7 linked regions of the Ovis aries genome follow. Each later gene encodes a partner of the first gene's protein in a complex. Links are inferred from orthologs where the notes say so. Each region holds a gene or a part of one and is shown in the gene's direction. Other genes may lie near its edges. The genes, in order: UXT, PFDN6, POLR2E, PDRG1, RUVBL1, ASDURF and DNAAF10.

Region 1 (4,218 bases):
GAAACAAAGCTTGGTTTTAGACTGCAAACCCACAAATTATCTGGGAAAACTTCCCTGATACGCTGGGTGCTCTAGGGCCTGCAGCCAGAAGTATCATTTGGGGGATCCAGCACTGGAGTTCTTCTTCAGGCCTGGACTTACTGAGTTAGAGGCTATTATTTGAAAATCTAACATAGGAAATAAATCCATTCGGTAATTTGAGCACATAAAAATAAATACAAAGTTTACACATTTAAATAAAAACATAGGAACTCTTTCTAATGACAAGATAACCTATCTTGGGCAGAGGACTTCAGCAACCCTCTATTTGACGCCCCAATTAAATGACGTGATCAGCCATGAAATTAAAAGATGCTTTGCTTACTCCTTGGAGGGAAAGTTATGACCAACCTAGATAGCACATTCAAAAGCAGAGACATTACTCTGCCAACAAAGGTCCGTCTAGTCAAGGCTATGGTTTTTCCAGCGGTCATGTATGGATGTGAGAGTTGGACTGTGAGGAAAGCTGAGTGCAGAAGAATTGATGCTTTTGAACTGTGGTGTTGGAGAAGACTCTTGAGAGTCCCTTGGACTGCAAGGAGATTCAACTAGTCCATTAAAGGAGATCAGCCCTGGGTGTTCTTTGAAAGGACTGATGCTAAAGCTGAAACTCCAATACTTTGGCCACCTCATGAGAAGAGTTGACTCATTGGAAAAGACTCTGATGCTGGGAGGGATTGAAGGCAGGAGAAGAAGGGGACGACAGAGGATGAGATGTCTGGATGGCATCACCGACTCGATGGACATGAGTTTGAGTGAACTCCGGGAGTTGGTGATGGACAGGGAGACCTGGCGTACTGCAGTTCATGGGGTCACAGAGTCGGACACAACTGAGTGACTGAACTGAACTGAACTGATTAGACATAGTGCGTTATCAACCTCTGCTTGAACTCCAGTCATGGACTGCGGGCTACAGAGCTGGAGTCGTCAAAGGTGCATATCAGAAAATTTGTCTCCTTTTCAAAACTTATGTTTAATGCTGACATTTATTTCCATTATTGAAAGTCAAACCCAAGCTTCCCTTGTGAAAACTCAAAATCCAGGGCGATGCAAGGATATACTTTCCTTTTTACAGACCACATTCATAATCTTTTCTTGCCCGGCTGCTTCTGAAGCTCTGACTTTTAAACACCAAAAGCTGTACTCGCTCTGTGTGTACCGCCACCTCCGGCACCCGCCAAATCCCATTAAACCCCACCCCCAGCAACAGTGCACTATCCCCATAGGCTTGTTGCGCAGTCCAGGTTCCCACGCTCTTCAGCCTTTCTTAATCAGCGGATTTCTTAAAGCCCCGCCCTTTCCTTCTCTCCGGCGTTTTTTTCCGTTCAGGACTGCCTCACCCACCCTGGTTATTTGGTTGGCCAGCGCCCCCGCCGTACGTCATTTACCCGCGCCACCCGGAAGCCACGGTTCTTACTAACACTTCTTTTTGCCGGCGGCTTTCAGGTAACGGCAGCGCTTGGGTGTCCCTGTGTGATGGGGTCCCAGAGCTGGGAGGGGCGGAAGGCTGAACCCTCGGCATAAGCCGGACGACTCAACTCCCAACACTGAAAAGGTGCAGTTGCACTGTGCTTGAGACCAAACTGAGACCAGTGGTCTTCAACGTGGTCTTTCTCCCTCCCCATTCCTCAGGAGCCCATCATGGCGACGCCCCCTAAACGGCGGGCGGTGGAGGCCACGGCGGAGAAAGTGCTGCGCTACGAGGCTTTCATCTCTGACGTGCTGCAGCGGGACTTGCAGTAAGTGACAGAACGGGGGGCGGAGCTATTGGAGCGGTCCACGTGGTGAGCGGGGCGTTCGAAGTCAGGGCCTGGCCTTCTGATTGGTGGGTGAGGCGTTCAGAGCCCGGCCCCGTGCGCCATTCGAGGAGGAAGGAGGGGCGATATCCGGGGTGCAGCGTCGGGTGAGGAGGGAGACTTGGTGATTTAATGGTGCCTGTGTACGCGCATGCGCGGCTTCCGATGACCTTAAAGGGTTAAGAATTAGAGTTCTGAAGCTGGAGTTTTCAGGTTCGAATCCTGGCTTGACCATTTTGCTTTCCGTGTGAATACATACTTCGCCTCCACTTGCTGTGCCTCAGTTTCCTCATCTGTGAAATGGGGAAGTTAATGCAGCCTTCCCCACGGCAGTGGGTTTGTGTTTTCAGTGTATTCAGTCCTTGTAAAGGGTTTAACTTGGATACTAGAGGCTCAATGAGTATAAAAAATTATTATTACTATCATTATTAATCAGAGCAGGAAGGAGAGTGTTCAGGTCTAGGATTATGAGCTCCTAAAAGAGATGGAGGATTTTTTTCTAGGGTGAGAATGTCATATTCTGATTGGAGGGAGGCATTGGGAGTAGAGTGTAATAATACTTGTAAATAAGAGCTAACTCATATAGAGAAATTTGTTTGGAGGGCACTATTCTAAATGCCTTATAGTAAATACTCATTTAATCCTCCTAATGACTCTATGAAGTAATACTCCTCATTCCTATTTTTAAAATGGGGAAATTGAGTTCCAAAGAGATTACTCACTTGCCAAAGTCACACAGCTAGTAAAATGGAAAGCCTGGATTCAAACCGAAGCAATCTGACCCAGAGGCCAAACCTTGACTTCTGCACTAAAATTCCTGTTTAGACTCTGGTGACAGGAGAGTCTCAGGGGTTCATGGTGTGAGATATTCCAAGAGGGACAGGGTTTCCTCTTGGTCACCATTTTACTCTTGTCCTGTCATGTCCCATCAGAAAGGTCCTGGACCATCGCGACAAGGTATATGAGCAGCTGGCCAAATACCTTCAACTGAGAAATGTCATTGAGCGACTCCAGGTAAAGATGCCAGGGTTAGGTAGTCTTTTTGTGGGCAAAGGAGGGGGAAGAGAGGAGATACCCAAGACCAAAACCTGTCACCTGACCTAAAAGTTGACCACTGATCCCTACCTCTTTTTCCCTGGCCCCACAGGAAGCTAATCACTCGGAGTTATATATGCAAGTGGATTTGGGCTGTAACTTCTTCGTTGACACAGTGGTGTGAGTATCTACCTGCCCCTCTGAGCCCACAGGGTTCAGCTTCCCTTTTCCTTCATTCAGCAAATACTTTTGTTAGTATTTGCTATGAACCAGACACTGCTCGGTGCTGAAGATGTGACAGTAAATAAAATAGGACAAATTATCTGCCCACCCTGACCTTCAGTTTGGGGAAGGTGGAGGATGGGGAGTAAAATAAATATTAAACTGTGTAGTATGCTAAACAGTGACAAGGACTTCTCCACTTCTGATCACCACTGTTTCCTTAGCCCAGACACTTCACGGATCTATGTGGCCCTTGGATATGGTTTTTTCCTGGAGTTGACACTGGCAGAAGCTCTCAAGTTCATTGATCGTAAGAGCAATCTCCTCACAGAGTAAGTCCATTGCATGAGGATACTGTCTAAAACAACACCATTTGTAACATCCTTCTTCCCCCTTTCACCCTGGCTACCTGGGATGGTACCTAGGAACCACTTTCCCCTCTCTCTAGGGGAGAGAACAGTGGGGATGCAAAGCTTAGCCCCAGGTGTAGCACATAATAAGTACTCAATAAATGGTCTCTGTATTGTTCACTCACACAAAAACTTATTGGGCATTTGCTGTATGCCAGGCTCTGTGCTTGGTGTTGGGGAGGCAGTATGAACAAGACAGAAGAATTCCTTGAAAGCTTACATTCTACAAGGGCTATAACTATTACACATCAGCACAGTTTTGACCAGATCCTGGAGGTCTCAGCCTGTAAATCAGTAACAGTAAAACAAGTTACCTCTGACTTCACCTTCTGCTAATTTTCCTGCTCATTCACTGTGCTCTCATCACATTAACCTTCACAGGCTTCTTTAAATGCCCACAAAGTGATCCCACCTCAGCACAACTGCAGTAACTGTTCTCTGTCTGCCTACAGCACTTTCCCCCCGATATATGCATGGCTTCCTTTTTCCTTATTCACTTGAAGTCTTGCTTAAATGTCACTTCCTATAACCTAACTTGAAAATTGCAACCCTTGCGCTCCTGATTCCCCTCCCTTGTTCTACTTTTTCTTTTTTTCTGTAGCACTTATGACCTCCTAATGTTTACTGTGTGATTTACTTTTTTATAATGTTCATTGCCTGCTCCCATTAGGATATAAGCTTTGCAAAGGGAGAGATTTTGTCTACGTCTCAAGTCA
Region 2 (3,168 bases), on another chromosome or scaffold:
AGCCTGGCGAATCTTTGCCGTGTCCTCCCCATCCTCTCCTTCCAGAAACCTGCAAGTGAGCGTGAGAGTTGCATTAAAGCTTCCTAATAAGAAGTGGGTATCCCAGCATCACAATCAGAAATTAGAGCCCCATAAATCAGGGATTGGGGAGGCCCACATCAGGGTCCACTCACCCAGGTTCTTCAGCAAGCAGAAGCTCAGATCGAGCAGCTCTGACACTTGTTTCCTCTTCTTGTGCTTCAGCCACCGCAAGTCGGCTTCGTGTCTTGGTCTTCGCATGTGGTAGCTAAAACAGCGGTGAGAGATGAAGTGAGAGAAGGACCAAGGGATGCGGGGGTCACAGGAGAGCCCCGCCTCCATTCAACTCACCCAGACACTCCCTCCTGCAACCGCTCCCCACTCTCCGACTAGCCCTCACCTCCTTGGATTTGTCAATGCGACAGTACTTCCGAACCACCTCCACACTGACAGGGGCGGGGCCTGCAAATGGGTCCTGGGCCTGCGGCAGGGAGGAGGCAATTAAGAAACAGGCTCGAGCTGACCCCAACCCCCCGACCCTGAAAGCACAAGGCGACTTGCCTCGGCACCCCGGGAGGTCCCAGGCTCACCCCAGAAAAGGTCCGCTGAGGCCCCGGACTCTTCAGTTCTCGGGGTTTCTTGGAGATCCGAAACTTCTTTGAGGTGTCATTTCTCTTTGGCTTCTGGGGGCGGAGCTCTCGACTCCTCTTCCGTTTATGAGGGGGACCTGGAGAAGCTCCGGCCGCAGTCCCAGTGGTCTCTTGCTCCCAGTATCGCCGCGGTTTCTACCAACAGAGCAGGATCCCTCGTATTCCGCTGCCCTTCGCCCCGCCCCTCGAACCCCGCAAATAAAAACTTCCTTTCCACCCCAAGGAGATCCCTACCTTCTTCTTGGCTTGCAGTCTGTCCTTCTTGGGTGGAACATTACTGCCCGGCTTGGGGACTGTCTCCATCTAGCCCACTCGAACCACGATCCACGTGCAAACTCCTCTCCACAGTCCCACAGTGTGATGGAAAACTCCCGGAAGTCCTCCGAGACTCATCCAATCAGCGCCGTTCCAGGTCTGAAGCCTCCTAGGCGCCATCTTTAATGAGGGCGCGCTCCCCACTGAGGGGCGGGACCAAGGCCCCCAGTGCGGCAACTTATGCCCAAGTGATGAAAGACGGGCAGTCCGAGGCCAAGACCCAAGCAACCCTGCAGTTTCTTTTCCCATCTCGGTTTCTCCATCTTGCCTTAAATCCTTCCGCTTCTGGTCTTTTTAGCAGAACGCCACACATTGACCATATTAGAACTACATTTCCCGGCGTGCGCCGGCTCACAGCTTCCGGTGCCGTCTTTCCCCAGCATTCTCTATTTACTTCCGGGTTCACCAATACTGAAGTGAGAGCGTGAGTAGGGGAGCGGTTCGGCTGAGGAGTTCGGGGTACTGCCACTCCCTGAGGCTGGGGGTGAGTCGATATCCCGGACCAGGAGAGACTGCAGTGGGTGGCCCGAGGGGCTGCCTCTCAAGAGGGCTGTCACCTCCGCAGGCCAGAAAGGGGAGCCCGGGTACCTTCCAGAGCGTGAGACCCAGCGCCCCTCTCCCGCTGCCCGCAGGCTTTCGTCCCCGCCATGGCTGAGCTAATCCAGAAGAAGCTGCAGGGGGAAGTGGAGAAATATCAACAGCTGCAGAAGGGTAAGGGAGCAGGGTAGGGGTGACCTCGCGGCAATTCACTCACAACCTGTCTATACCCGAATAATGTATTCTGTCCCACCTCTGGCCCCAGCCTGCGGCTCCTTCCCCTTCTCTGTAGTCTTCCCATTCCCTGTCCCGCCTGCTCATCCTTGCCTGCTTCCTCAGCTCCGCCTTCTTACCAGGACTGTGGTGGTCGGGTGGCACATGAGATGTCTCTAAACAAACCTTTTCATCCGGCAGACTTGAGTAAATCCATGTCAGGGAGGCAGAAACTAGAGGCACAACTAACAGAAAATAATATCGTGAAGGAGGTGAGAGACTGAGATTTGTGGGGCGAGGGGGGACCTGTCTTGGAAGTGATTCTGATGTTTTTCCCACTCCTCCACCAGGAACTGGCCCTGCTGGATGGGTCCAACGTGGTGTTTAAACTTCTGGGGCCCGTGTTGGTCAAACAGGAGCTGGGGGAAGCTCGGGCCACAGTGGGGAAAAGGCTGGACTACATCACAGCTGAGATGTGAGTCTTCCTTCCACCCCACTGTGTTATACTTGATCCGTTGGGAATAAAGGTGCTGAGAAACCTTTCTAGAGTCATTCTCCAGAGCAGCCCCCATTTGAGCAGGTTCTTCAACTCCTTCCTGTGTCCTTCAACTCCTTCCCTTTTCTTCATACTCCCCTTAGAGCTCAAGTTTCTGACCAATCTTGTCTTCAGCACCCTCAAGAGTAAGTCTCACTAATTTCTCATTTGCTTTTTTGCCCTTCCTCAGTAAGCGGTATGAATCCCAGCTCCGAGACCTAGAGCAGCAGTCAGAACAACAGAGGGAGACCCTGGCTCAGCTGCAGCAGGAGTTTCAGAGGGCGCAGGCGGCAAAGGCAGGGGCTCCTGGGAAAGCCTGACCCTGTCCTGGGGGGGTGGGCGGGGGGAGGAATGCGGCAGCTCTAGGGTCTATACTGTAGCTAATAAAATGTGAAAATACCTGGCGTGTTCTGACCAGCCACTTCTGTTGTAACTGTCTCCATCCTTTCCTCTGGTCCCTTCTCCCTCACCCCTATATCACCTGCATTACTCTCTTAGATCCAAATTTGTGCACTGAAATTTGTGTGTGGCAGAGTAACCCTTCTTTCTTGAGACTAAACTCCGAAATGTCTCAAACCTAATCCTTGCCTGTACATGCAAGCCTTAACTCTCTCTTCTCTTGATTGGAAGCAACCAAGAAAAGGGCATTGACAGTGAAACAATTTGGGGGAAAGTTAAGTTTCATTGAAAAACTCACAATTCTCTAACCTGCAGTCCCAGAATGGAACATGGTAATCCTCTTTTGCTATGATTTCTTGTCATCCTCAGAATAGCCCTGGCATCTTAGTTCTTTTTAGTCTCTTTTCTTCCTAGACTTTGTTTAAATGTAGCTTAAATTGGATTTCATATCCCAGCACATAATGCATTGTGATATTCTGAGACCTCCAAGTTTGTACATTG
Region 3 (4,031 bases), on another chromosome or scaffold:
CTACTGTCCCCTGGATGCTCCCCGTAGGGTCCCCCAGGAGTCCCAAGCTCACCATATCCAAGATCTGCTCCAGATCTGCCTTCTATGCCTCCCCACCGAGGTCTGTTCTTCCTCCTCTGCTTGTCTCTGTGTCTTTCCACATCCTGTCCACCTACAGATCCTATGAGCGCTGCCTTCTGGACACCCTAGACCTGCCCACAGCTCATCCTTCACTTGAGGCCTCATCTATCTCTGGCCGGGACGGTCCTCCCTAGCCCACTCCTTGGTCTCCCTGTTTCTGCCCTGTGGAGATGCTGAAAATGGCTGCAAGCACAAACTTCTCAAACCCAACCAGCAAGGGCTCCCAAGATCTGCCCCACCTGACCCTCTGACCCACAGGCCTCCTTGCTGCCAACATGCTAGGCCTCAGGGCCTTTGCACATGCTGTACCCTCTACCTGATACACTTTCCTCGACATCCCCAGGGCTTCTACCCTCTCACCCTTTGGATTTTTGTTGGAACCTTCCATGACCACATTTGAGACTTCTCTATTTTTTCTTCCACAGCACTGTCTCCTTCTAACACGCTGTATCATTTACTTATGTCCGCTGTTTCTGTCCTGTCTCTCCCTGGCATGTAAGGATGCTTGGTCTGTTTTGTTCCCCGTCTCTTTGGCTCCTCATTAAATACTGAATCATTGAATTAATATATTACTGAATGAGAAGTTACTGACACAAGTAAGCTGGGCTGAGCAGGCCTGAACAAACCTCCTGAACGAACTCGGAGGGGAAGGGCCGATGCAGAGGTTGTGCACTCTTGGGGTATCCAGGCAGGGGCTGGGCTGGGGCTCAGCTGCATTTTGTAAGCACCAGGAACTATACCAAGCTCCTCCCAAGTACGAGCATCTCTTTAGATCCTCTAAAATGGGGGACACTTTATTCTTTTCATTATACAAAACGGAAAACCGAGGCTCCGCTCACACTTCCTCAATCTCTCCAGATTCTAAACACTGTCCAGACTGACGTTGAGCAAAAACCACCACTCCCGAGAAGCCGTGCCGTCAAAGCATCGCGAGAACTTCCGAGGGGCGGGTGGGCGGTGCTGTTTGAAAGCTGCTCGCGCAACCAACCGCCGCTTTAGGAAGGCTAGGGCTGCCCTTGGCAGTGCCGCTCCCGAAGGTCGCTGTATTCAGGCGTTCGCCTGCGACAGCCCTGCACGGGTAGACGACGTGTTGGGGGCCTGATCAGGACTCGGAGTAGGCACTGTGGGCCCTGGTCGTGCTGGTCGCAGGCGCAGTGTGTGAGAGCGGCGGGAATCATGGACGATGAGGAGGAGACATACCGGCTGTGGAAGATCCGCAAGACCATCATGCAGGTGAGCCGCGCGGAGGCAGCCCTCCTTGGAGAACGCGGTGAGGGCGTGCCTGGCTGCGCCAGACGAACTGGGCACGTGGCGGCCGAGGCGTGAACGGCGGGTGCTAGGGCCCGTTGATGAGGACGAGCCTCTTCACCCGCGGCGGCGCGGCTGGAGCGGAGGAGTCGAGCCCCAGAGCCCCCAGAGAAGGGGGTCAGGATCTCGCTCGAGCTGGAGAGAGGGAAGGCGGGAGACGCTGGGCCGCCTTGTATTTGTGTTTCTGGAGGGTTGTGGTGTTACAGCCCCTGATCCTTGAAGTTCTTAATCAGTAAGAATTGATAACAGGCCAGACTAGAAGGTCAGGCAAGGCTTTGTTGGAGCTTATGCTGCAGCAGGAGGGAGCGAAAACAAGCAACAGGCGCCCTTCTTAGGTCGTCTTGAATGGGATAATGGGATGAGGGTGGGCGCGGGTCCAGGGGTCATGCCAGAGTGATGATTCGGGTGGTCTGCCTACCCTCTGGGTGGTGCTGTGTGCAGGGATCAGGCCTGGCACCCAGCTTTTGCTCCGGCACCTCAGAAGTGGAGGTTTTGACTTTCTGTTGTTGTCTATCATTTGCTCGAGCTGGGCAATTGCACGGTTATTTTTAGTCCCGCATGGTTTCTGGGTATTCTGTTGCTGGAGAAGATGTTTGTCCAAGTGCAGGCGCTGCCGCAAAGGGTCCCAGCTCCCAGCCTGTCTTATCAGCACCACCGTAAGTGCATAACGCAGAATCCCGGGTTCTTGACGGTGGAAGGAACCCTGGTGGGCTGGTCTGACTGCTGTCTGGTGGTTACTTAGATGCCTTGCCCACCAACTCAGTCTCAGTGTCACAGCAGTCACACCAGCTTTTTCTGTGTACCACATGCTTTAAGCCACCATGTGAGAGGGGTCCAGTGTGATGCCACAAAGACTTGGGGCCTTGATCAAGAGCACCCAGCCTCCTGGGAATTGTGCTGGAGCTAAGGCTGGGCTATGACCCAGCCTCTTCAACACTTGGCAGAGCTACTCAAGACAGGGCGGGAGCAGCTGCGCTTCTACCTGATGGTGTCGGGGCTGCGGGAGAGGAGACCCAGGTCTCTGAATGGAGACTCGGCGGGGGGTGGGGGATGTGGGCAGGGCTGGGTGGCAGCTCCAACCTTCCTTTGTCTGGGTCCTCACCTAGTCTGTGTGCTCACAGAGCCCTAGTTTCTGAGCAGGACCTTGAACTGCTGGGCCTCAGGCTTTTGCCTGGTTTCACAGCCAACACCCGCCCAGCCTGCTGTACCTGTCAGACCTACGCCCTGGGGCCTGACTCTGGACTCAACATCTCCGCTTGCATCCCAGGCCTTTCCCCAGTCTCCTCTGCGGTGGGTGAGGCCACCGGAGCTCTGGCTGCTGTCCTATCTCCACTGTGCGATCGATCACCTGCCCTTTCTCTCTGCAGCTGTGCCATGACCGTGGTTACCTGGTGACCCAGGACGAGCTGGACCAGACTCTGGAGGAGTTCAAGGCCCAGTTTGGGGACAAGCCCAGTGAAGGGCGGCCAAGGCGCACGGACCTCACGGTGCTGGTGGCCCACAACGACGACCCTACTGACCAGATGTTCGTCTTCTTCCCAGGTGAGGGCTGCTCAGGGCCAGCTCACAGCAGCCACCTGCTGTGCGCCCCAGAGTCATGCACCCACCCTTATCCTTCTGTCCCCTGCCCTCCTTGCTCTGGGAACCCCTTCTCCAGCTTCCCTCTTCTCGATCACCCATCCATTCTCTCTGGGCCTAAAGATCACATTTCCAAATACAGTTTCATTCTGAGATTCCAGGGCCAGGACCCCAACAGAGGGACTTTGAGGGCAGAGTGGGTTAGTGGAATGGGAAGTGAGAGCAGCTGGAAGGGGCGGACATACTGCACACAGACCCTGGGGCTGCCCTAGGTGCTGACCTGCTGGGCTCCTAGGGTCCGGCTGTTCTGTGGCAGGCCCTGCATGCTGCCAAGACCATGAGGACCCCCAGTGCTACGGCATGGAGATGGGTGGTCTGTGTCTGGCAGGACCATACTCTCTGGGTCAGCTCACCTCAGCTTACCTCTGAGAACCCCAGCCCTTGTCTCATGAACTCCAAGACTAAACCAAATCCAGGGCTTCCCAAACCTCAGAGCCACTGAGCCCTGGCCAAGCCCAGACTCCCAGACCCCACTTCCAGAAGAGGTCCCTGAGGTCCAGGGCACCCAGGGCACTTGTCAGCTCCCATGTGACCTGGAGGCAGCCAGCTCCCCCATTCTGGGAACCAGCTGCCCAGTTCTTGCTTTGCACACGGGGAGGCTGAGGCCCAAGAGTGGGAGTGGCACCGCAGTGCCTTGGCAGAGCCAGGCTAGAACCTGGGTGCCCGATGGGAAGGGGCCCTGCAGCACTGATCAGCCTGTGCTCTGCCTGCAGAGGAGCCCAAGGTGGGCATCAAGACCATCAAGGTGTACTGTCAGCGCATGCAGGAGGAGAACATCACACGTGCCCTCATTGTGGTGCAGCAGGGCATGACGCCCTCTGCCAAGCAGGTAAGCCTGCCCCGCCAGGGTGGGATGGAGCCTGGCCAGCACCTCTGTCCCCAGGCCCGGGGACCGGCTGCCACACTAGCTCCCAGCCACCCTGGGAGCATCCTGACAGGTACTTACCTTTCTTGATGTGAGATGA
Region 4 (4,068 bases), on another chromosome or scaffold:
CTGGTGAGCCCTGTTTCTCCTTTGGCAAATGTTCCTCCTTCCTTCACAAGGCCTGTGTCTGCGTTTCTGAACCAGAAGGTATTTACACAAAACATCCTGGGTTTGGCGACAAATTCACCCTTAATGAGGAATCCTTAATGAATCTCCTTCTTTCCCCATGCCAGGTGGCTGCAGGGAAAACTAACTGCCTCATCAGTTCAAGGAAGCCAAAGGCCAGGCAAAGACAGGGTGCTTCGAGGACTTTTGGGGCCACAACTTGGTGGAGGGCCTTTCTTCTTTCAGGATCCAGAAACAGCTGTGGTCTAGAAGCTTGAGCACTCCTGGACCATGTTTGCTCCTGACTTGCCGTGGGACAAGGAACAAGCCTCAGCATGCAGCTGCGAGATGTGTAATAACCCACCCATACAAAGATGGTTGTGAAATTCAAGGAAGGCAAGGGGTGTGAAAGGGCTTGGTTACAGTGGCCAAAAGGAGAGCAATACAAGCTGGAGTCAGGGAGACAAGAGGTCAGAGCTCTAGTACTGGGTCTGCTGTTGACTTTTTAAAACCCTCACCACCCTCTGAACCTTGGCTTTTCCAGCTGTACAGTGAGGGGTTTGGGTGTGAAGATCTCTAGGGAATCTTCTGATTCGGAAGGGCAGCCACTTTCCACCTGCCTACTTCTTCTTGGAAATCTTCCCAGCTCCTACAGCCCACAATGATTCACTTTCCAGCATTTCCAACTCTTCTGAGCTGGCACTTCATCACTCACCGCCCTTCCTAGGGTCTAGGTCAGCTATTCTTGACACTGGGTCCAACACAGGGGCTCAATGAAAGTAGAGGTCAAACTGAATTTTAAGACTCCTGCCTCCTTCCAATCCTGCGGAAACACAATGAGAAGGATTTTTATTCACTCTCATTTTATAAATCAGAAACTGCTACACTTGCTTCCTTGGTGCTCCTCAGGCAGGGGAAGAATGGCTTGATTTCTCCAAAGCCCTATCACTGCCTCCCATAGTATATAATTATTTGTTTTGTGATCAATTGTTTATGTTACCCACTAGATGAAGTTGCGCGAGGGGCAGGGACTTCGTTTTGTTCACTTCCGTATCCTCAGCGCCTAAGAACTATCCTAAGGGAGGGCGAGGTTAAGAGGTTTGGACCTGCAGGGGGCGCTCCAGCCCCGCCCCCAAGCTAGGCCCCGCCTCTCGCGTCCGCTTTCGTGCGAGCTTTGGAGCCTGCGCGCCTCCGTTCTTCTTTCAACTGCGCATGCGTGCCGGAAGCCCTGTGAGAACGGCGCGTGCGCGGACGGAGCTGCAGTGCGGCAGAGCCGGAGGTGAGCGCGATAGGATAGCGGCGTAGTGGAGTCGTGACTGGTAGGCATCATGTTGTCGCCCGAGGCGGAGCGGGTGCTGCGGTACCTGGTGGAGGTGGAGGAGCTCGCCGAGGAGGTGCTGGCGGACAAACGGCAGGTAGGAGGCCTGTCCGCGGGGCTGGGGCCCGGGTTTTGCAGTTGGGCCTGCGAGCTCCTAGGGCAGCGCGCGGGGTCCGGAATCCGGCTCCAGCTTGGGCTAGCTGTGAATTGACCTACTCTTGTGGGCCAAGGGCTGTGACGACAGACCGGGCGGTTGTGAGATCATGTGGGCCAAATGTCGAGTGCGTGGCACAGCGCCGCGCTTGACTCCTGTATTTGGCACATATTAAGCCCGTCTGTGCCAGGCCTTTCCTCTCTCGCCATCCTTCCTCTGCCCTTTGCCCAGCTTTCCGGATCCCGACCCATTACCTCTTGGGGCCTTTGGTTTACCTGAACCGCTTTTTCAAAATGCAGTTTCTGGGCCCCAACACTGACCTGGGCTGCACCGCTCCAGTCCAGGCCAGAAGAGGAACAGGAAAGAAGTCTGAGTGGTCTAGTAATCGCGCAGGAGTCGGGACGTGGGAGAAGTGTGGGGCCCAGGCCACCGGAGGGCCGTGGAGACCTGCACAGGGAGTTTAAGGCAGCTTGTGGTGGGCAGAGAGAATGATATAATGGATTGAGGCTTTGAAAGATCCCTCTGGCTGCTCTGTAGAGCACAGACTATAAGAGGGGAAGGGGTGAATGAGGGGCCAGGTAGGGGATGGGTTTGGGCCTAGGTGGTGGTGATGGGTCATCTCCCTTTGGAGATGGCCTCCATGATGCTGAGGTATAGGGGTGAGGGAGTAGGAGGGATCAAGAATGATTCAGACTCCTCATCTCCAGTTAGAATGATTGGGTACTTGGTCAGTTGGGTATTAAGGGAGAGCCTAGTAAACACTGCATCAAGGTGTGCTGGCTGACAAATAGCAGTTAAAGTTGATTGAGTACTTACTGTGTATCAAGTACTGTGCTGACTTAGTTCCTAGGTTAATAACCTAGGTGGTGGGTCCTCTTCCTGTCCCTGTTTTTCAGAGAGGTGAAGTCACACCGCTCATAGCAAGCTGCAGGATTCAAACCTGGGTGTTCTGCCCCAGAGCCTCCACTGCCAGGCAGTAGTACTGCACTGCCTCCTCACTTTCTTAGTAGCCATTTTGCTGTGACCACTGTCTCAGTGCCTTTCTGATGTAATATTGTTGTTTTTCTCAGGATACTCGGTCAGAATCAGCTGGAGGAGCTTGTTCAGGAAGTGGTTTCCACTCCCCTGGTGATTCTGAAATGCCTTGAAGCTTGAGAACTAGTGCTCCCGTGGATGATAATAAAAAATTACCCATTTAGTCACTAGACATTTCCCCAGCTCCTCCTCTGGGGGGAAAGACACCTGGATGAAGCATCGTCTTTAAGGAGCTGGAAGCTGAGTGGGGGAGGGAGTACCTTCACACCTCTGTCCGCTTTAGGCAGGACATTAGAATTAACCGAGGAATGATGCCTTGTCGTCTTCGTCAGGTTTTAACAGCCCTGGTCTGTTGAGGGTACAGACCCAGGTAGGAGGTAACTGAGTTCCCTCCTGCCCCTGTGCTTTTCAGATTGTGGACCTGGATACCAAAAGGAATCGGAACCGGGAGGGCCTGAGGGCCCTGCAGAAGGATCTCAGCCTCACTGGTAAGCCTAGCTTCGTTGTTGCAGCCCAGGAGGCCTGTTCAGTTTACCTTCTACTGCCTTTGACTTATTCCTGTTAGAGACCAGGCAGGAGGCCACAGGTGTGTGGCACAGCCCGTGGAGATGGGAGAGATGGCATTGCAGGTCTGACCTAGACTGTGGCTCAGGATTTCAGTTTCTTACCTCAACCAGCAGGTTGTTAGCTGCTAGCTTATCAATTGATGACACTGGGAAAGTGCTGGGGGTATAAAAACAGTGCAGTTCCTGCCCTTGTGCTCTACAGGTGAGTCAACAGCATAAATACAGAACTGAAAATTGTAAGAAAGCTGCAGAAGGAAGTGAACACAGGGTTGGTCTTGGATAATGGGATGGTGGCTCTTTAGATGAGGCTAAGTGGTGGTGATGGAGGAAGCAATAGGGGAGGGGCAAGTGATCATGCTAGAGAGATGGGCAGAGGCCAGGCCATGATGAAGGGCCTCAGGAACCAAGCACTTAAAGTGCACTGGAAAGCCTGAACCCTTCCAGTGTCTTGTCTCCCCAGAGTAAAATCCAGAGTCCTGCAGGGCTCCGTGTAATTTCGCTGAACTCTCCCACCTTGTCTCCTCTGCTCTCACGCTCGCTTATCAGCTGCACCCTCACCGTTCTCCTTGCTGTTCCTGACACACCGGCACGTTACTGATCCTTGCTGTTCCTGGTTCCTCTGCCTGGCTTGCTCTTTCCCTAGATGGGTGTCTGCAGGGCTTGCACACTCCTCACTTTTGTCAGGTCTCTGCCAGCATGGCACATAATCTGTAAGACCTTCCAAGACTGCCTGGTATAAATGACAAGCTCCTCTTTTTGGCATTCCCCATCTCTCTTTCCCTGCTTTAGTTTTCTCTAAGATACCTTTCAGGGTCTGATGAATCATATCTTTATTATCTTGACGTTGTTGTATATTCTCTCTCCTCCACTCTAACAAGCTAGGAAGGCAGGAATTTCGTCCTGTTTTGCTGTGTTTTCAACATCTAAAGCAATGCCTGGCATCAAACTATTTGTTGAAG
Region 5 (4,161 bases), on another chromosome or scaffold:
CATTCACTGACAGAAACCACTACCAAGTCCGGTTAAGATCCAGTGTGTAAAATACACGCAGCAAAACTGCCTGACTCCGTGGGAACGGGGGGGGGGGGGGGGGGGGGGGGCGGGGTTCCAGAACCGGGCAGAAGCCTTAGCTATGAGCCAGACACTGACGCTAAAATGACGGACAGCAGCGACGAGGTCTGCGCTTTCACAGCGCCTGCAGTTTAGTGGGAGAGGCTGACTCTGACCGGACAGTCATGCAAGTAACTGGAAACCTAGACTCAGAAGTGATGACGGAGAAGCGCAAGGAGAGACGAGAGTCAGCAACCACTGCAGCACGATGTGGCTTCAGGCCTGTCTCAGCCCCGATCCAGAAAGGCCCCCCTGAGCTCTGGGCAAGTCCCTCGTTTCTCTGGACCTGAGTCCACTTACCTGCGACATGGCAAAGCACCATCTTCTCCTAAGAACGTTAGCCTGCCATCAGGGTTCCGTGTGGGCATTACCATATCACCTTCTGGTGCCTTCCTAGGCTCTCCAGCTGTTCCAGGTGGCCTGCTTGGGGCTTGCACACCTCACCATCGCAAGCTTCCCAACTAAGGACTAAGCTTGTTAAGGCTGCAGACTTTGTATTTAAGCCTGCATCGTGGAGTGTCCGGCTCAGAGCAGGTGCAAACCAACGTTTATTGAACGGATGGGTGGATGGGAAGAGCACACTGTTCCAGGCAGCGCTGACATTTTCATGGAACGGACAGGACGCAGCCGCGGGATGACCGTCCAATCCGAGGGCTGGGATGAGGGTCCCACAGGCTGCCGCGCCTTAAGCCCTCAGCAGAAATTCCAACTGCTGATTACTTGCTGCGCGCTCTTGGGTGACTTGCGGGGCCTCTTTGCGCCCGCATCTTCATCCGGACTAGGAATTACCCTAAACGAGTAAAGCGAGAGGCGGAGGCGAGGGGACGCAGAGGACAGGCCCCTGAGGACGCTGAGCACGGCCTCCCCGAAGACGGCGGCAGGAGTGGCTGTCAGAAAGCTGCTCAGCCGGCGCAGGTCGAAGCTTGAGTTCTAAACCTGTCTGTTCGTCTCCGACACCGAGGTCGAACTTGAGCTCCGCAGAGCGGTATCGGTTCGAACGCGCTCACGGCCGGAAGGCCCGGTGAAGAGCGGGACGCGCGCCCCTAGTGAGCCGCAGCGCCGCCCGGCTAGTCCCTACCCAGGAAGGAAGCGCCCCCCGCGGGGGAAGCCAACCGTGGGACACCGCCGGAAGCTGGTGGGCGGGCCCTACCGGCAGCCGCGACGGGCGCAGCCAGGAGCCAATGGAGCGCGGAGGCGTTCCCGCCGCGGCCAATGGGACGCCGACCTAGGCGGGACCAACCGCCTGGTAACGGCCTCGTGGTGACGGGGTGCGCGCTGCCTGGGCTGTGCGGGCTCGGGGGCTGCGGTTGTCAGGATGAAGATCGAGGAGGTGAAGAGCACCACGAAGACTCAGCGCATCGCCTCCCACAGCCATGTGAAGGGGCTGGGGCTGGACGAGAGCGGCCTGGCCAAGCAGGCGGCCTCGGGCCTCGTGGGCCAGGAGAACGCGCGTGAGGTGTGGCGCGGGCGGCGGGGCGGGCCTGGCGGGGCGGCGGGGCGGGCCTGGCGGGGCGGCGGGGCCGGGGCTGCGGCGGGGCGGGCCTGGCGGGGCGGCGGGGCCGGGGCTGCGGCGGGGCCGGGGCTGCGGCGGGGCCGGGGCTGCGGCGGGGCCGGGGCTGCGGCGGGGCCGGGGCTGCGGCGGGCGGCGGGGCGGCGCGGAACCCTGCTCTCCCGGACCGCGCGTTTCGGACACAACGTTTAAACCGCCCAACGGGAGTGTTAGACTTTGGGGACGGGCTCTGGGGGGCTTTCTGAGAGCGCATTGCGAGGCCCTGGGATTTTAAAGCCGGCAAGTGGCCAGGCTCGGCAGGTGACGGGTACCGAGTCCTTTTTGACCATTCCACTTAAAGCCCATATCTACCGAGGGATGGCGGTGCCCGGTCCTTTCTGCTGCATTATTATCACAGAACTATTCAGGCTCTTTTTTTTTCTTTTTTTTAATTGTTGCTTTTTTTGTAGATGAAAAAATTCAGGGTGAGAGACCTGTCCACCCAGCCCCCTGGCGACTCAGTTTAGTAACACTGGAGTTTGTGCCTGTGTTTCTGACTCCTGAGACAGTGCTGTCTGTGTAGCAGTCCCCCTCAGCCCGTTGCCAGGACCTCTGCTGTGGCTCAGCAGCTCTCAGTCCAGGCCAAGACTCTTGCCCTCTAGCCTAACTGTGCTAAGAAAGGGCCAAAGAGAAGCCTCCATTCTGGACACCATGCTTGCAGAGGGGAAACTGTGGCAGGATTAAGGTGACTAGCTTCTCTTTATCCAGCCTCAGCTGTCTGAGAGGCTATCACTGCAGAGTCGCTGCGTCCTCTCCACGTGCTAAGCAGCCCCGTTTCCATCGTCCTATCGTCCCCTCCATCCTTAGACTGCCCCTCTCTGCTTTTTTATGGCACTCTTCTGACGTACGGCAAAACTGAAAGAGCTGTGTACCTGTGTGCCCAGGTTCTACAAGCGACACTTCACGCCGTTGCTTGTCTTCTGTCTGTCCATTTAGCCCTCCAGCAGGCTGCCTTTGCATGTCACGCTCAGTCGCAGACATTAGTATACTTCACCGTAAATCCGATAGCATTCGGGCCTCGGTGTTACGAATTCTGTTTTTGGACGAGAAAACTGTGTTTCACAGAGATCAGGTTATGGGTCTCAGATTACTCAGCTGGTGCTTGGCAGAGCTAGGCAAGGCAGCCTGACTCCAGAATCCACGCTGTTAACTCAGCTGCTATGTGCCTCCATCTGAATATGAGCTTCCCAAGGATAGAGACCGGGTGGTGGTAAATATCCAGAACCTGGGTTATGATAGGGACTCAGAATTTATGTGCTGACTTATTAGTCATCCCACCGCTGCCGCCAGGTCCTTGTTTGGGTCTGGTCACATCACCAGCCTCCTTGGTGTTTAATAGGCTCACCTGAAAAATGAGAGTTACAGCTCTCTAAAGGCCCTTCCAGTTCATGCTTTTTAAATCTTGGAATTCACTGGAAGAAGCTCACTGGAGAGAAGGAACCTAAATGGAAGCATATTAACGGGAAGAGGGGGTGTGTGAATAAGAGCACACAGACAAGGCTTGAAAAGTCTTCCTCCTCTTTGAATCGCCCAGAGCTCCAGTGCTGAGGGTTATGAATGATGTCAGAGGTCACTGTGGAAGGACCTCAGTGGCTCCTTTTTCTTTCTGAAAATGCGACCTCTGAAGAATCTCTTCTGGGCTGTGAAAGTGTGCCGTGCTCTCCCAGCTGAGCCAGAAATGGGGTGGAGCACGTCCACGTGGTTTCCGTGAACCTGTGTTTTGAGGGGCTGTCTAAGTGTGAGAGCAAGATACGTCTCCACAGTCCGTGGGGAAAAGAGAGAGAAGAGCAGGTGTTCACAAGACGTTGTCAGCAAGGTGCTGTCCAGGGAGAAAACCTGTGACCTGCCTTGAGACAAATGGAATGCACCTCGGAGAGAGGCGCGCTTTGAATCGTGTAAGGGATCTTGTGTAGTCTCAAGATACAGGAGTTCAGGGAGTGTGACTTTCTCAGCCTTGCTCCAGAAATGCTCTAAAACGCATACAATCAGCAACCCGTTTATAGACTTTCTGTGATGGACATTCATATGTGTGTCAGTATACAGTGGGCCCTTGAACAGCATGGGTTTGAACTGCATGAGCCCACCGCATGCAGGTCTCTTTCAGTGTATAAGTGTTAGGACCCTTGGCTGCCGTCACGGATGTGCAGGGCTGGCTGTAGAGTTATGTGCTGATTTTTGACTGCGTGGAGATTGCGCATCCCAGCTTCAAGGGTTCGTGGGTCAACTACACATATGGATGTATGTGATTATACATATAAATACACACACAGTGTATATGCTGTACAGAATGGCTTAATACTCAGAATGTTTACAGTACGCTAACAACTAATTTAATCTTTAGGATTTGAAAGGCAGTTCTTGGGTCTTATGATGCCATAGATTAAACATCACATGTAGCGCTTGCTTGCAGCCTCCTGGGATAGTTGACTGATGGCCAACTAGTAGAGTGTGTCATTGACTCTTAGTACTTGGTGGGTTAATTTGAGAATCTA
Region 6 (3,939 bases), on another chromosome or scaffold:
GTTGAGCTTTAAGCCAACTTTTTCACTGTCCTCTTTCACTTTCATCAAGAGGCTTTTGAGTTCCTCTTCACTTTCTGCCATAAGGGTGGTGTCATCTGCATATCTGAGGTTATTGATATTTCTCCCGGGAATCTATTCCAGCTTGTGCTTCTTCCAGTCCAGCATTTCTCATGATGTACTCTGCATAGAAGTTAAATAAGCAGGGTGACAATATACAGCCTTGATGTACTCCTTTTCCTATTTAGAACAAGTCTGTTGTTCCATGTCCAGTTCTAATTGTTGCTTCCTGACCTGCATATAGGTTTCTCAAGAGGCAGGTCAGGTGGTCTGTATTCCCATCTCTTGAAGAATTTTCCAGTTTACTGTGATCCACAGAGAGGCTTTGGCATAGTCAATAAAGCAGAAATAGATGGTTTCCTGGAACTCTCTTGTTTTTTCAGTGATCCAGCGGATGTTGGCAATTTGATCTCTGGTTCCTCTACCTTTTCTAATACCAGCTTGAACATCTGGAAGTTCACGGTTCATGTATTGCTGAAGCCTGGCTTGGAGAATTTTAAGCGTGTGAGATGAGTGCAATTGTGTGGTAATTTGAGCATTCTTTGGCATTGCCTTTCTTTGGGATTGGAATGAAAACTGACCTTTTCCAGTCCTGTGGCCACTGCTGAGTTCTCCAAATTTGCTGGCATATTAAGTGCATCACTTTCACAGCATCATCTTTCAGGATTTGAGATAGCTCAACTGGAATGCCATCACCTCCACTAGCTTTTTCGCAGTGATGCTTTCTAAGGCCCACTTGACTTCACATTCCAGGATGTCTGGCTCTAGGTGAGTGATCATACCATCGTGATAACCTTGGTTTTTTCCTAGATAATAAATATTAAGCGGTGTTTCTACTGAGCTTCTATTCTTCATAGTCACCACTAGGGGGCGCATATAATTTACAGTCTACTAGATGCCACAGGGTAAAGAGCGTTTCAACATCCCAACCGCTAGGGTCCGTTCGGGCCCCTAACTTGTGCGCACGCGCGCGAGTACTCCTAGCCCAGATCCGGCCTGCGCAGGCGTTCCAGTGAGCACGCAGACGCCGTTGATAGGACTCACCGGAAATTGAAAGGGAGGGGCTGGGCCGCGGGGAGCGCAGACGCGCAGGGGCTGCGGACGCGGAACTGCTGGGGTGCCGCCCGGCCTCGCGCCCTGCCTGTTTGCTTCTCCGCGGAGATGCCCAGCCGGGGTGAGCGACCCGAGGACGGCGCTGGGCCCGTCCCTGCTGAGAGCTCGACCCTGCACAAGGACGAGCTCAGCAGCAAGGTGAGTGCGGGACGAGGTAACATGGCCCTCGGGCTGCTCACCGCCGGAGACGAGCCTCGGTGGCCGCGTGCTCTAGTCTCGACTTTGCCCTGCTGCGAGAGGCACAGTTAAAGGGACACCTTGAAACTTGCCCCGAGATTAGACCCAGATGGTAGTAAGGCGGAAGTTTAGTTGGTTTTATTTTATCAATTTTTAACATATTTTAAAGTATCATACAGTAAAATTTGGCTCTTTTTCGTTTTCTCTGTATTTAACACGTGTCTAAATTTGTGTGACCACCGCCACAATTGGAATATAGACAAGTTCCACGACCCTGAAAGACTCCCTTTATAGGCATGCTCTCCCCCGCCCAGAACCTCTGGCCGTCCCTGATCTGCTCTACATCAGGACAGTTTTATCCTTCCCAGCACATCATGTAGTGAAATCACAGCTTATGCCTCTCCAAGCTTAATGTCTTTGAGATTCACGGTTGGATTTTTTTCTATGTATTCTTAGTTAAAACTTTTAGAAATTACCTCCCACCCTAGATCTGCTGCCTGCGGTCTCAGAAAATGTCAGCGCCATCCATGCAGTTGTCCATGCCAGTAACCTGGGAGCCCATCTTTGCATCCGTCACGAAGTTCTGTCCTTTGTAAGGTGTCCCTTTATCACTGTGTACACTTTTAACCATCTTAAACCCGCCCCTTGCATGTGCCATAGGGAATCCTGCAAAAGTTTCCTAACTGGTCTCTCCTTAGCCATTGTTGCCTTCTTCTCCCCTATCCTTCATTTAGCTGGAGCGGAGAAGGCAGTGGCACCCCACTCCAGTACTCTTACCTGGAAAATCCCATGGATGGAGGAGCCTGGTGGGCTGCAGTCCATGGGGTCGCTAAGAGTCAGACAGGACTGAGCAACTTCACTTTCACTTTTCACTTTAATGCATTGGAGAAGGAAATGGCAACCCACTCCAGCGTTCTTGCCTGGAGAATCCCAGGGATGGGGGAGCCTAGTGGGCTGCCGTCTCTGGGGTCTCACAGAGTCGGACACGACTGAAGCGACCTAGCAGTAGCAGCAGCAGCATGCTCCTAAAAATGTTATTTCATTGTTGCTCTTCTGCTCCTCCCCTCACAAAAGGGAGCCAATATAAGGCCATAAATGGAAAAAAGAAAAAAAATTTTTTTAACATTTGAAATGAGGATGGCTATAATCTTTCAGGTAATAGATGTCTAAGATAATACTTTGGTTCTGTCCCAAACTGACACTGGCATCTTGGGCACATCTCTGATTCCTCTGTTACAGTTTCCTTGTCTGAAGTTCTAAAGTATACCTACCATTCCTAAAATGAATGGGAAAGTGCTATTCAAACATAAGCCTTAAAAGGAAGTTGTACAAATTCAGTCTTGGAATTCAACTCAATCTCTGTAATCAGTCACTACAGTGACTGGCAGCTGGAAAGCAGAAGGGTACACATCTGTGGGGAATGAATTTTCAGACTGCACACAGCCTGCTCTGATTCCTACCATAGCATGCCCTTTACTCTTGCCTGGTGGGCTCCTCCATGGGGTTGCAAAGAGTCGGACACGACTAAGCGACTTCTTTCACTTTTCACTTTCATGCATTGGAGAAGGAAATGGCAACCCACTCCAGTGTTCTTGCCTGGAGAATCCCAGGGACGGCGGTGCCTGGTGGGCTGCCATCTCTGGGGTCGCACAGGATGGGACACGACTGAAGCGACTTAGCAGCAGCAGCATGCCACTTATACTGATGTATGACAGATCCCCAGGCATCAGAGGTTACAAAATAACACTGTTTAGAGGCTATGGTGACACTGTGTAATCAATCATGTTTGCAGTATCACTATCATTACTGAAAAGAGTTTAAAAGAAATTTAGTTTCCATTTAGTTGAGCCCTGCTACTGCTAAGTCACTTCAGTCGTGTCCGACTCGGTGCAACCCCATAGATGGCAGCCCACCAGGCTCCCCCATCCCTGGGGTTCTCCAGGCAAGAACACTGGAGTGGGTAGCTATTTCCTTCTCCAGTGCATGAAAGTGAAAAGTGAAAGTGAAGTCGTTCAGTCGTGGCCAACTCTTAGTGACCCCATGGACTGCAGCCTACCAGGCTCCTCTGTCCATGGGATTTTCCAGGCAAGAGTACGGGCTCTTATTGAGCATGCTTTGATAATCTCTGATTTAGTACGTTTTCTTTATTTCAATAGATTAAAGAACAAAAAGTTGTTGTGGATGAACTTTCTAACCTGAAGAAGAACAGGGTGAGTTATTAGCATTACTCTGAATACTATGTGGGAGGATTTGATATCAACTGTATAAATCTATGTATTAATCATAGTTGCTGATAATCTTTCCCCAACATATGCAATTGACATTACCTGCGAATCAAATGATACTGATTGTACTATGTTATCCTGGAGCTTTAGTCAATAATGGTATTTATTTTGTACTTGAATTTGGTGTATTCTTTTGACATAAACATTGAATCTGTTGAGAAGAGGAGAAGCTATACAAGTGAATGTGGATAATTATTTTTTGTTTGTTTATTTTTTAAAAAAGATAAATGCTACCACCTCCTCTCCCTACCTCCTCAGGTTTTTACTCCAAGCTTCCAAATCCTTAACGTGGTTATTTAACTCCATT
Region 7 (3,500 bases), on another chromosome or scaffold:
CTGTCAGGAACCGTAAAGGTGTGGGACCCACGGCAGAAAGATGATCCTGTTGCTAATATGGAACCCGTGCAGGGAGAAAACAAGAGAGACTGCTGGACTGTGGCATTTGGTAAATTACCGATGGACTCTTACACCTGAAATGCCAGATTATAAAAAGCACAGTGCTTCAGGAAAGTCCTGATAGTTTAGAATCTCTTCTGTACATTATTCTGGCAGTTTATCGAGGCAGATAGACATGGTGATTGGGCCTGGGTTTGAATTCTCACTGTGCTACTTAACTGGCTTTGTAACCTGGGGCAAGTTATTAGGCTTCTCTGATTTTTGCTTGGTTCATTTATAAAATGAAAGTCATAATAGAATTTACTTAATAGTTTTGTTATGAGGATTCAGAGTTAATACACGTAAAATGCTTAGACTTGTGCTTAGATATCAAGTGTTCAAAAATATGGAGTATTATTATTTATTTTTGTTTAACCTGGTGATATTGACCTAGTTTAGAACCCAATGCCATTAGTGAAATTAAGTAGAGCCTTAGATGGTAACCTAACCAGTCTCACATTATGCTCTACACGGTGTGTGTTTATTTTCTAAAAATAGTTATACTATTATAAAATTATATCTTACGAATTTTATAACCATGTTCCTCTATTAATATACTTTTAAAACTAAATTACCACTGAAATTGGGAGATTTCTATGTGTATATATTATAATTACTATGTGTGTATGTATAAGTAATGATATAAGCCAAAAACATGTACACTTGGGAAGAAATTTCAGAATTAGTGTTTAGAATCATCATGTAAAATTTATGAAATAATTAAAAAATAATTAACTTTGGGCCCATTAAAGGCTTTTTAATCATTGTTCTAAGGGATGTAAGTGCAGTTTTAAATATAGGACATTAAAGAAAGGACATTTATCGGAAGCAGATTCTTATTTTAAATTAAAGAAGCTGGTAACTTTAATAAAAAGTGCTACAAGTATAAAAGGTGCTCTAATGTATAAAAAGTGATACATTAATTGTATTACTCCTACAAGGTCAGAGTGATGAAAGGTCACAGAGGCATGGGTCAACACAGAAGGAATCCCAAGGCAGCCAAAAGAACATATTGACCTCAGTCCAAGGATTTGTAGGATTTGAAACACTGAAATGGGGAGATTTCGAGTATGTAGAAGGAATGGAGGTAGGACTAGCCTTAAAGGTGGCACGTGGCCACAGCCAGAGGCGTTTAGATGGTCTGGAGGTAGTGGTAAACCTTCGCAGGCTTCTGCAAGGAGGAGATATGATCAGAGCTTTAGCTTTACACTGTGGCCGGGTAGGCGGGAGGAGTGGCAGAGGAAGTGTGAGTTCTGAAGCTCTTTGCAGTATTCCAGGAAACATGTAGGGTTAAGAAGCAGTGAGAATGGAACAGAGGAGTGAATTCAGAAATAATGTGGCAAAGAAAAAGAAAAAGAAATAATGTGGCAAAATAAATACACTTTGGCAATTTTTTTGGAGATGAAGAACAAGGGAAAGGATTATGTCCAAAGTGACTGAATTTTGAGGTTGACTATGAAGTGAATGATGTTTATTGAAGGAGTTCCACAGAGTGTATGATAGTTTTTAAAGGAAGACGATGACATCAGTTTTAGACATCAGAGGTTTCAGCTGCTGTCATGTCATCTCAGTGAACCCTCCAGTGGAAATGCAGGGCTGGAGTTTATAAGAAGAGGGAGTAATCCAAAAAAATTCCTGGATCCGAGCAAGGTGAATTCAACTGCAGGTTGTAGATTTACTTCAATTGTGAGCATCAGATAACACCAGAACAACATTTTGCAAAATAAATAAGTTTAAAGTAGTTTCCATTTGCATGCAAAGAAAGCATTGGAAGTGTAACTGTATTTATTCTACCGAACCCTGCTATGTTAAATTGTTAGTCTTTGCAAATAGAGTATAGAAAGAATATTTGGTTTCAATTTAAAATCCAGTAAACACTTTCTTTCATATATCTCTTGAGCACAGAATCTCAATAAAGAGTTTTTTTGGTAAACAATATCAGAGACTAAATTAATAATCTTGATGTCCTGTAGGATTAGTAAAATGAGATTCTATCCAATGTGACTTCTTCACTTGATTTGGTACAAGTTACCTGTGTAGTTCTGTAAGATTATTGTTTTGTTTTTTATTGGAGTATAGTTGATTTACAATGTTGTTAGTCTCGGATGTCCATAAGTTTTTTAAGCAGCCTTCAAATCAGCATTTAAAAAGATCTGAAATGTCATGTCCTGATTTCCAGGCAATGCTTATAATCAAGAGGAACGTGTCGTGTGTGCTGGCTATGACAACGGAGACATCAAGCTGTTTGATCTCAGAAATATGTCCTTACGGTGGGAGACAAATATAAAAAATGGGGTAATCTGCATTTGCATTCTTTGCAGTTTCTCTGAATGTCTTTTCCACGTACCTCTGAACTACAAAAGGAAAGCACCCCTAATAACTCGTCTCAGTAAAACCCCTTTATGGATGGATGGTTCTTAACCTTTAGGGTCTGTGAAGTCCTTTGAGGATCTGATTAAAAATCAGGGACACTCTTCAGAAGGAGAACACACAGCCAGGTGTGGTGTGACAGTGCCTGGTGGGTCACCGCCCCTGTAGCCCATCTCTAGATGCCTGTGGGCTATGCAGTGTGATGTTAAAGTGAGCTGGTACCAGGCCCTTTTCTGGTAATATCAGGAAGACCAAGACTGTAATTGACTCCCAGGTACTCACAGGTTTTTTGGTTCCCGGGTTGTACATCTTTAGTGAAGAATGTGGTTCCTTCCTGTTTCCTCTAGTCAGCCTTGACTTGACTTTATAAAATCATTATGTAATAATGGTAAAATGTTAAAGTATGGCTTTCCAAATGTACCTCAGTGCCTGAGATGATTTTGGGACCTTACTAACCGAGAAGAAAATTTTCTAGTTACAAGTATTCGGTATACAGATTCAAAAGATAAAATGATTTTTTTTAAAGTGCTTTCACATAATCCAATAATGTTACAGTTGTTTTACTTGGTTTGAAAGAAACTCTTGGATATAATGATTGGAGCATCACTCATAAATATTCTCTATTTTCAGGTGTGTAGCTTGGAGTTTGACAGAAAAGACATAAGTATGAATAAGTTAGTAGCTACATCTCTGGAAGGAAAGTTTCATGTTTTTGACATGAGAACACAGCATCCAACCAAAGGTTTTGCTTCTGTTTCAGAAAAGGTAAAGATGAGGGAAATATCTTTCTATGAAGAGGAATGTTCATATTAATAGCTTGCTTTAGACTAATAAATAGAATGAGTCACCAGGTTCCTTCCAGGTTTTTTGCATGAAGGGAGCTATTTTTAATATATTCTTATAGGATCTTGATAAGTTATTCTGTGCAAAGAATACTTTCCTAAAGTTTGTCAGTTTCATATTTCTTGATTATATTAATAATAAAGGCCTTCATTGGTAATGACTATTATTTTGTAGTTTAAGAGCAATCA

Evidence for each region.
Region 2: UXT (region 1) and PFDN6 share a complex: the UniProt entries of both Homo sapiens proteins name them as parts of the PAQosome complex. The link is inferred for Ovis aries from reciprocal best matches to the Homo sapiens genes UXT and PFDN6.
Region 3: UXT (region 1) and POLR2E share a complex: the UniProt entries of both Homo sapiens proteins name them as parts of the PAQosome complex. The link is inferred for Ovis aries from reciprocal best matches to the Homo sapiens genes UXT and POLR2E.
Region 4: UXT (region 1) and PDRG1 share a complex: the UniProt entries of both Homo sapiens proteins name them as parts of the PAQosome complex. The link is inferred for Ovis aries from reciprocal best matches to the Homo sapiens genes UXT and PDRG1.
Region 5: UXT (region 1) and RUVBL1 share a complex: the UniProt entries of both Homo sapiens proteins name them as parts of the PAQosome complex. The link is inferred for Ovis aries from reciprocal best matches to the Homo sapiens genes UXT and RUVBL1.
Region 6: UXT (region 1) and ASDURF share a complex: the UniProt entries of both Homo sapiens proteins name them as parts of the PAQosome complex. The link is inferred for Ovis aries from reciprocal best matches to the Homo sapiens genes UXT and ASDURF.
Region 7: UXT (region 1) and DNAAF10 share a complex: the UniProt entries of both Homo sapiens proteins name them as parts of the PAQosome complex. The link is inferred for Ovis aries from reciprocal best matches to the Homo sapiens genes UXT and DNAAF10.

Annotation. Positions count from the first base shown.
Region 1 is NC_056080.1:57,168,696-57,172,913, forward strand, and holds the start of UXT (protein UXT), read left to right. Parts: upstream 1-1,418; 5' UTR 1,419-1,485; intron 1,486-1,671; 5' UTR 1,672-1,680; coding exon 1,681-1,778; intron 1,779-2,767; coding exon 2,768-2,849; intron 2,850-2,982; coding exon 2,983-3,050; intron 3,051-3,316; coding exon 3,317-3,424; intron 3,425-4,084; exon of another isoform or gene 4,085-4,218. UniProt on the Homo sapiens protein: Involved in gene transcription regulation. Acts in concert with the corepressor URI1 to regulate androgen receptor AR-mediated transcription. Together with URI1, associates with chromatin to the NKX3-1 promoter region.
Region 2 is NC_056073.1:7,615,388-7,618,555, forward strand, and holds PFDN6 (prefoldin subunit 6), read left to right. Parts: upstream 1-1,375; 5' UTR 1,376-1,407; exon of another isoform or gene 1,408-1,467; intron 1,468-1,548; 5' UTR 1,549-1,630; coding exon 1,631-1,694; intron 1,695-1,934; coding exon 1,935-2,005; intron 2,006-2,083; coding exon 2,084-2,208; intron 2,209-2,458; coding exon 2,459-2,588; 3' UTR 2,589-2,668; downstream 2,669-3,168. Other genes in the region: WDR46 (WD repeat-containing protein 46), read right to left, coding at 1-49, 174-286, 419-499, 609-803, 903-971. UniProt on the Homo sapiens protein: Binds specifically to cytosolic chaperonin (c-CPN) and transfers target proteins to it. Binds to nascent polypeptide chain and promotes folding in an environment in which there are many competing pathways for nonnative proteins.
Region 3 is NC_056058.1:41,257,705-41,261,735, reverse strand, and holds the start of POLR2E (DNA-directed RNA polymerases I, II, and III subunit RPABC1), read left to right. Parts: upstream 1-1,231; 5' UTR 1,232-1,296; coding exon 1,297-1,353; intron 1,354-2,795; coding exon 2,796-2,970; intron 2,971-3,779; coding exon 3,780-3,895; intron 3,896-4,031. UniProt on the Homo sapiens protein: DNA-dependent RNA polymerase catalyzes the transcription of DNA into RNA using the four ribonucleoside triphosphates as substrates.
Region 4 is NC_056066.1:61,137,078-61,141,145, reverse strand, and holds the start of PDRG1 (p53 and DNA damage-regulated protein 1), read left to right. Parts: upstream 1-1,268; 5' UTR 1,269-1,364; coding exon 1,365-1,451; intron 1,452-2,955; coding exon 2,956-3,031; intron 3,032-4,068. UniProt on the Homo sapiens protein: May play a role in chaperone-mediated protein folding.
Region 5 is NC_056072.1:59,390,488-59,394,648, forward strand, and holds the start of RUVBL1 (ruvB-like 1), read left to right. Parts: upstream 1-1,361; 5' UTR 1,362-1,435; coding exon 1,436-1,576; intron 1,577-4,161. UniProt on the Homo sapiens protein: Possesses single-stranded DNA-stimulated ATPase and ATP-dependent DNA helicase (3' to 5') activity; hexamerization is thought to be critical for ATP hydrolysis and adjacent subunits in the ring-like structure contribute to the ATPase activity.
Region 6 is NC_056055.1:119,676,120-119,680,058, reverse strand, and holds the start of ASDURF (ASNSD1 upstream open reading frame protein), read left to right. Parts: upstream 1-1,139; 5' UTR 1,140-1,218; coding exon 1,219-1,308; intron 1,309-3,503; coding exon 3,504-3,557; intron 3,558-3,939.
Region 7 is NC_056056.1:40,186,417-40,189,916, forward strand, and holds part of DNAAF10 (dynein axonemal assembly factor 10), read left to right. Parts: intron 1-7; coding exon 8-109; intron 110-2,278; coding exon 2,279-2,394; intron 2,395-3,099; coding exon 3,100-3,234; intron 3,235-3,500. UniProt on the Homo sapiens protein: Key assembly factor specifically required for the stability of axonemal dynein heavy chains in cytoplasm.